Linked DNA regions of Caenorhabditis elegans. The protein of the gene in region 1 purifies or fractionates together with the protein of each later gene. This does not show direct contact. Each region holds a gene or a part of one and is shown on either strand. Other genes may lie near its edges.

The links.
Region 2: the proteins of D1086.3 (region 1) and gmap-3 fractionate together in Caenorhabditis elegans (co-fractionation; one large-scale study listed by BioGRID). This does not show direct contact.

Annotation. Positions count from the first base shown.
Region 1 is NC_003283.11:14,090,824-14,094,486, forward strand, and holds D1086.3 (T20D4.11-like domain-containing protein), read left to right. Parts: upstream 1-1,968; 5' UTR 1,969-2,059; coding exon 2,060-2,203; intron 2,204-2,370; coding exon 2,371-2,463; intron 2,464-2,508; coding exon 2,509-2,793; intron 2,794-2,927; coding exon 2,928-2,990; 3' UTR 2,991-3,163; downstream 3,164-3,663. Other genes in the region: him-5 (High Incidence of Males (increased X chromosome loss)), read left to right, coding at 58-103, 288-386, 474-604, 650-878, 928-1,020, 1,247-1,338, 1,435-1,503; D1086.8 (T20D4.11-like domain-containing protein), read left to right, coding at 3,400-3,534.
Region 2 is NC_003284.9:12,938,186-12,943,184, forward strand, and holds gmap-3 (GM2 Activator Protein family member), read right to left. Parts: upstream 2,774-4,999; 5' UTR 2,527-2,773; coding exon 2,367-2,526; intron 2,324-2,366; coding exon 2,202-2,323; intron 1,299-2,201; coding exon 1,183-1,298; intron 1,129-1,182; coding exon 918-1,128; intron 873-917; coding exon 741-872; intron 685-740; coding exon 565-684; 3' UTR 510-564; downstream 1-509. Other genes in the region: gmap-2 (GM2 Activator Protein family member), read right to left, coding at 3,367-3,553, 3,729-3,805, 3,852-3,968, 4,023-4,122, 4,578-4,717, 4,821-4,918, 4,969-4,999.

The DNA.
Region 1 (3,663 bases):
AGCAAACTGTTTTTCTCCCGAAAAAGCATACTTATCATCTGGTTTTTTTTGCTGAAAATGTCCAGAATTCGTTCTAATAACGACAATATTATAATATTAACAGGTAATTTATTTTTTTAATCTATTATATCTTGCTAAATTTGAATTCGTCAGTAGCTTCAATGCTAAAAGCGGAATAACAATTTAAAAAAACTTTAATAAATGTTTATTTTTGAGGAAAACAACTCTATAAACACCAATTCATTGTTAAACATTACAAATGAACATTTTTTGGGATTTTTTTTCAGATGAACAACGAAAAACAGTTGGTCGCATCGCCGGTCGTTCACAGAACAGAAATACATCGAAAAAAATTGCCGATGGCCCATATTTTTTGCCGAGATACAGTTCGTTTTAATATATTTTATGTATTTTTCTGCAGGAAAGCTTTTACATCAATGTTTTCCAATAAAAAACTAAATAGTTAATTTCAGGAATTCGAGACAATGCAGAGAGATCAGTAGGTGCACGTTTCAAGAGTCTTCCACAAAAAGAACAAGACGAAGTAGTGAATGAAGCTTTTTCGAATCTTCGAGAATATTTGAAAAAGAGGGAACCTTTCTATGTTAGTAATTTTTAAAAACATGGAATTTTACTGATTATTTTCCAGGCAAAGCTCCGGAAAGCTAACTCCAAGTATTCCTCAAAGCCCAAAGAAAGAGAAAAATCTGTCGACTCCAATGACGAAGCTGATAGACGCAATAAGGGAAATAAGAAAACTCAAAAAAATGCGAGTAAGAACTGCCAAATTGAGAAATCGTCGAATAATTCTGGAATTCTCAAAAAAAGTGGATCAGGAATCAGCGTGGCTTCTAAACCAAAAAAATCAGTTGCATTTGGTACGGAAATCCAAGAGAAGTCAATTTTCCAATATATTACAAATTTCAGCACCAGGAGTATACGAAGATTTAAGCACCGACGATGATTTAGAGTTTTTAAATTCTGTGATTGTCAACAGTGATCGTCCAACTTCACAGTGTGGTAAGTAAACTCACATCAACATTAATGAAAGACACGATTTAATTTCGCGAAATTTTGCAATTTTGGCTACAATAATACGGTATTTAGTCTAGACACGACAAACTTGTTTTAAGCACAGGTTTAACGGGTGTGCGCCTTTAAAGATTACTGTAGTTCCGAATTTTTTTCTGCCGAATCTTCATCGAGTTTAGTTTTCCGATTTTCAGATAAATTGTTTTTGTTCCAGATAATCCGGCACGTAGAATGTGTGGAAGACCGCCAACAAAACACAGGGACACTGAACAGTCACAGGAAATCACTGGAAGCAAGAAGCAGAAAGTATGTGGAATTTTTTCAACTTTTTTTGCAAATTTTAATATCCTTATACAACGGAAATTAAATCAATAAAGCTTTATGAAAATGTTAATATTTCAGATTTTTCCGACTCCTCACGAAAAACCTGCCTGGTGGTCATTCCGCATTCCAAAAAAACGCGCTCAATAATTCGTGGTTTAATAATAGTAGTTTTTATATCCCCCCAGTATTATCTGTAAAATAAGATCTCATGTTCCATTTTATTTTGTTTATGTTTGTATCAAATATTCAAGTTAATAAAAAAAAAAATTTATTTATTGCGGCTAGGGGACTCGAGTGCCATGTTTGCACGTAAAGCATAGTGACGAGCGGAACCCTCGAGATGTCCGGACACTCGGGCATATAACTGTCCTCTCGTCAGTGGTATTGCCGCTATTTATAAACGCTCTCAGGGCCTTGCAAAAGACCCAGTGAACAATTTTTGGAGAACCCTGTCCTTTCGAGGTCAGGGTAAATGTTAGATTTCCAGAATCCGAGATAACGAGAATTTCGTTGTTTACAAATCGAACAGAAAGTAGAATTAATTGGTCTCGGAACGTCATCCTTATCACAAACACACCTACAATATCCCGATCCCAACCCTTTTTCATATGTTTTTTTTTCATTTGAATTCATATCAATTGACCTCTAAACTTGGTATATAAAAGCAACGTGTCTGATAAAGAAAAACCGACGAGAAAACAACATGAAATCTATTATCATTTTATCAGTTTTCTTAGTTTGTTCCGCGTTGGCTGCCAGTTCTGATAAGGATACTGAATCAAAAGTGGCCAGATATTTGAAATCCTGTGGAGTTATCACTTCATTGAAGACTACTAAATGTGTTAAGGTGGGTTTTATAAAATTGTTCAAGCAGGCTTCAATTGTCATGATTGCTCATGCAGTTCTTATTTTGGTGGAATTTCAAACATGGAGATTTATCACAGTAGTCCTTTTTTGTTGTACTTGCTGCATTTCGAACTATTTCCGTCATTTTAATAAAAAAAACACTTTTAGAGAAGCGATGAAGTAGATAAGGAGCTCAAAGCTCTCGTAAAGAGCAAAGACAAGGATCTCTCAAAAGTCAAGGCTTCGTGCAAAGACACCATGGTGGGTAACATCAGTGATATTAAAAACTTCTCAAATGTGTTTCAGGAATGCATTAAAGAGCTGAAATGTAAACCACTCGAAGAAGATCACAAGGAGACTCTCGACTTCTGTGGTCGTGCTCTTTTCCAGGACGAGTTCAAGGATTGCAGCAAGAAATTGCAGGCATTGAAGAAAAGTGATAAGGATGCTGCAAAGTGTTTGGAAGATTTTAAATCAGAGACAAAGAAGTCGACAAAGGACACTTGCACATTTTTGAAGGGCTCGAAAGATTGTATCAAGGCTCATATTAAGAAAGAGTGCGGGGATGATAAGTTGCAGGGATGGCAGAAGGTAAGCGGATGATGTCTTAGAAATCGGTTTAGGCTTCGGCGCAGGCCTTAAACTTAGATGCTTAGGCTTAGGCTTAGAGAGCCTCAAACTTTCATTTTCATTTCCACCAACTTTTCTAAATTTCTATTTTTCAGTTTGCTCAAGACTCGTTCAAAGAGAACGAATGCGAGAAGGCAATTGGAGCAAAATGGAACTAACTTCATTAAATGTTCTTCGATTTCTTGTTCCTTGTTACAGTAACCCTGCAAAACTGCAATAATTAATTTAAAAGTCTTTAAAATTCCGGTTGAGTACCCATTCCTCCCTCCTACATTCTTCATTTCTTCAAAGGGTTTCTCTCCAGGTACCAATAAAATTTTTAACGCGGTCATTAGAACAGAAAACAGATAAACTGGAGCAGGCGAAGAGACGCAGGAAAATAGAAAAAAGATGAGACAGAAATGAGATCAGTGAGTGGAAGAATGAATCAAGAAGAAGAAAATATTTGTGTTTCTCTTCGGTGGTTTTTTCATTCAATCTCTCCAATTTTTCTCTTGCTTTGATATCCAATTGATACGAGTCTACGTGGAGCTCACTGAGCAAATCGTAGAAATATTCAGATTTCAGATGCTTCGGGTTCTAACATTGATACTCTTTCTTGTCTCCTTGTCATATGGATTTCTTGAAGAAGCCGAAGGTGTAGACCCTGGGAATCGAGTATGTGATCCAGATGAAGAACGAGCTGCACAGAGCTGTAAAAATGTGAGTCGAATAGATTGAACTGTCCGCTAGAGAGCAGAGCTTTTTCAAAAATGAATAATGAAATCTTGAAAAGCTGTGAGATTTCTCTTCAAAATGATATAGCAACTTGCGTGACTTTGATGTTTAAGC
Region 2 (4,999 bases), on another chromosome or scaffold:
CCATGGTGTAGCGGTTAGCACTCAGGACTTTGAATCCTGCGACCCGAGTTCAAATCTCGGTGGAACCTATCTTTTTTGGATAAATTTTGATCTTTTCTTGTCCATTGTGTCATTTCTATAGTGAGCGGCACTATGGTTATCAATGAGTTGTAACAAAATCATACATTTTTAGGCTCCATGGAACATTTATATTAACAGTCGGTTTTTAAGTATAGCTCGCAAGATAAAATGTGTAACCCATAATATAATAAAACAGGTTCTTGCTCTGAAAATATTTGACTAATTTAAAAATGTAATACAAAGTAATGGCCGGGTCTCAGTTTTTATACTGTTTAGTTTGAAGTCCATAAAATTGTTTGTGTTGTCAAACTTTTGCCACCCACAGAAATAGCTTCCTTGTTATTTTCTTTGCTGAATTTGATTGTTATAAATCTTCCTTTGCACGTATTATTTCACGTCAACTGTTTCATGGGCCACCAAATCGTATGATTTACAGTCACAAAAAATTTCAAAAAATAATAAATTTATTTACAGACAAGCAAAATTAGGTTAGAAAATCACAAATTATTTACGGTTAACTTTCAAGTTTCCGTAAATCTTATGGCATGCCACGTAGCTTTGTTGGTTTTTGATAATTTGATTGAATGGAAGAGACCAGTAGACTTCAGCCGGAAGTTGAGTGTCCTGTAACATTTTTGAAATACTCTTTTAAAAAGAGAAAAATTCAGCTTGTGATTTACCTTGAAAAAACTGTACTTGGTTCTACGGTATACACCCTCGATTTTGATTTGAGTCGCCATTTGTTTGCTGACGTCAGAGTCAAACACGTAGACTGTAGCAAAGATCCCCATAGCACGAACAGAGTTTCCGTCCTGAAATTTCCAGCCAGTTTTTGCTTTTTTGACCTTTAGACTTACATCACCCTGAATCAGCTGCAAGAATGACTCCTTACTAAGCCCTTGTGAGCTGATGACATCATCAATGTCTGGAAGACAGAAAGCAAGCTTCAAGTTGTCATAGCTGCCTTTTTTCAATCCGTCAGCGCAGCTGATTGGTTGACCATCGAGGAGCAGCTGTGCTCGAACTCCTAATTTGTCACCGAATGTTTCACATGCATTGCAGTACAGGCTGAAAAAAAGATAAATCAATATTGTATGACAACATTAATTAATAGCAACAAACCAAGACCCAAATCCTCCACATCCGTTTTCAGGTTGTCGAACACATTTCTCTGGGACAGTATTTTTTTTGGCAGTGTTCTTCAGCTCAAGATAAATGGAGAAATCTCCGCCAAAGTCCTGAAATAGAGAGTTTCAATTTATTTTTTTATGTAGCTTTATTGTTCATTCAAAGTATATACTTAGAGAGTAATAAGAAGTTGTGATGAATTCTTTATTTCTCAGGGTAAGATAATTTTTAAACTTTTGATACGCTACACAAATACTGAAAAAAAACATTAAGTTTTGAATGATATTGATTTAAAATGTTGTCACGTTGTCACGTTGGCATAAAAAAATTCAATTTGCCCAATAATAATTCAGTAAGGTATAATTTAGTGATTTTTAAATTGTACAGACTACATTTAAAGATACAGATTGTGTTGATGTTCTTAAAAACACGGTCTTAAAGGCGGACTAACGGTTCGGACGATTTTGAACGTATAAATCCGAATTGGGCTGGAATGAATAAATTTTGAAAAAAAATACACTGATTTTCGCTAAAATCTCAATTTTCGGCCACTTTTCCGTGTCGCAGCGGTCCGAAGTTGTCTTTTTTGGAATTATCCTCCTGCATCTTTTGGTAATTTTTTATCATCACATTTCATTGATTTAAACCCGATAGGTAACCAAAAATCATCAAAATTGGTTACCTGTCGGCTTTAAATGTGCCTTAATCAATGAAATTGGATGAGATAAACTACCAAAATATGCAATAAAGGGCGATGATTCCAAAAAAGTCAACTACGTCCCCCGCTGCGACACGGAAAAGTTGCCAAAAATCGAGATTTTAGCTAAAATCAGTGTATTTTTTTTTCAAAATTTTGAACCGCCATAAAAAAATTTTGAAAAATTTATCAGAAGTTTCCTTACGAAACTCGTTTATTTGAGCTCATTTTGGGTTTGAACGTTCAAAATCATCCAAACCGTTAGTCCTCCTTCAAGACACGGAATATTAACAAAACAAAAAGCACAATATTTTACCTCTAGAACTTCTACTTGGCCTCCGATAGTAAAACAGTTTGGCTTATCGGCTTGTGGTTCAAGTTTCGGGCCTCTCCTATCATTTCCAGACTCGAATTCTAACTTCTTTGTCCATTTACCACCTGAAAACCAAATAAGCTTTGGTTTAAAATCTCGTAAACCTACTTTTGCATGGTTGATGTTTGATGAGTTCAAGAGTTACACTCAGATCTTTTCCCAACTCAACGTTTTCCAACGCGTTGGAAATGGAAACGAAAAGACACGATGAAGCTAAGAAAACGACCAACATCTGCGACTGAAACCGATGCGCAAATGAAGGTGTCATGGCTTATGAAGTAAGCGACGAGGACGTGCCCTTCTTTCACACCCCTTTTCAGCTGGATTTTAGAATAGTTTACAGTGACGGTGGGGGTGAAAGGGGAATATAGATATGAATTGTACAAATGTGTAATAAAAGTCTGACAGCCATCAAAACCACTTTTCTCGTTTTTTCTTTCTTTTTCGTGTTACTTTTACCTCAATGTGAAATGATTGTCGGATGGCGTTTCGAGGTCATGAAGGTTATGAGATTCTGAAAAGATGAAGAGATTAAAAGAAAAGGAAAGGGGAAAAAAGTAAAAAAAAAGGAAAATAATGAATCAAAAGCCTTATGTCCTTCAACTAGTAGTGAGAACAAATGCAATAAAGTTTTACAGATGTGTTACATAAATATCACTTTATGATCTCTAACCAACAACATATATAGTTCCAGTTTTCCTTACTATTAGTAACTTTGCAAGATTTTTCTGTAGAATTCGTGTACTGTTGTATACACAAGAATAAAAATTCTAGAAGTAAAGGGTATACAGAATACTTTGAACAAAATCCCAGAAACATTTTGAGGCTAGCAAAATATTGAGGTTGTATTGAATAAAATGCATATTGAAGAAATGTAAAAAAACATACTCAAAAGGATACCAGACAAAACTGTTGTTTTTTACACAACGAGTCTTTGAGCACAGTATCACCATAAAGATTGACTGTTATTTATTAAATGTCAAGATCAATTTGCTTATCTAATTCATAATTTTTATTGTGTTTATTTCATAATTCACAAAAAATGAACCCGCATAAACGAAATGAATAAACATGAAGTTATCATCGTTGTTCATCCAAATATATTTTCTTATTTCTTCTTGGCTTGAATGTCGCTCAAGCTAATGGTTCCGTAAAGTTTGTGACATCCAACGAAAACTGACTGCTTTTTGATAATTTGATTGAATGGCAGATTCCAATAAGTTTGAGAGTCAACTGGCTCATCAGCGCCAAGTTTGCGAAGTTCACGGATGCGAGATTCTAGTTTTCGTTGAGAGCTGAAATTATTTCATTTTTCTATTTGTTTAAAAATTTTCTACTCGTGAAAAATAGTGTTATTTTTCATATAGCTGTAATGTATGTGACATATATGTCTCGAATATAGTGAATGGTTGTTAGATGGTATATGAAACTGTAAATCTGGCTAAAACCTATTTAATTTTCAGAACTTACACTAGAAGAGGTTTAATATCCTTGTCGAACAAATAAACGGTCACAAATAGACTAAGCTTTGGTGGACCATTTCCTTCCTGAAACACACTTTTTCTTTCAATAATTATTTTCATTTTGTCAAACCTGAGTAGTAGCAGCTAAAATGTGATCTAACGCGTCTTCTGAAATTCCCTGCCATTCCAACAATGCAGCTAATTTCGGAAGGCAGAAACGGAGTTCAACATTATCATATTCTCCTTTCTAAAAATAGTGTTATTGACTGCATCGTAAATTTTTTTTAACGATGTTGCTCACTTTTAATGGCTCACATCCTGCTGGTTTGCCGTTCACAACAAGTTGAGCTCCGAGAATTTTCGTGAGAGAGTCCAAAGAATCACATGGCCGGCAGTAGAGACTGAAACAGCAGTGTTTACGTCATTTTTTGGAAACAACAAAACAACAAATTTTCAAGTTCGAAAATTTAAATTTCGTAATCATCGAAATACAACTAAATCTTGTTGTTTGAAGTTATAACATAACGACAAATTATGATAGCGTAGTACGTGGAGAGATGGCCGAGCGGTCTAAGGCGCTGGTTTAAGGCACCAGTCCCTTCGGGGGCGTGGGTTCGAATCCCACTCTCTTCAGTTCTTTTTTTTTAATTTATTTTGCAGGTTAAACACTTATGTATGAAATTGTTATAGTTATACTTTTTGTTTTAAGAGTGACCTCTAACTTAAAACTTTTAGGTACTTCACAGCTGTTCATCTATCATTAACTGCTCAAAAGGCTTTTTTTTCATTTCCTAATGTTTTTTCTAGCTCTAGAATCTTGATGATTTCCCTAATATTTCTGTCAATAACTCATTACCATGATCCAACACCTCCACAACCAGTGTCCGGATTGGCATCCCTGCACACTTCCGGTGGTCTTTGAGTGTCACCAGTGGTCGACACGGACAAGTAGATCAACAACTCGTCGCTCACATCCTCATGAATTTTCACTTTTCCCTAAAGAAAATGAATTATTATTATTATTGTAATAACGTCAATCATCAAGCATTGTTATTGTTTTTCAAAAATCAAAATAAAACACTCTTGGGGGCTAACTCACACTAATTGCATAGCACCCTTTCTGTTCAGTTGACTTGAGTAGCGCTCCACTATCCGAGTGGCCACCCTGGAACTCGATTTTGCGGTTCCAGTGAGAACCTGTAACACGTAAAGTATTAAAAAAGTGACAACGATAGTTTAATAATTACTTTTTCTCCATGCACAACTTTGATGTCTATG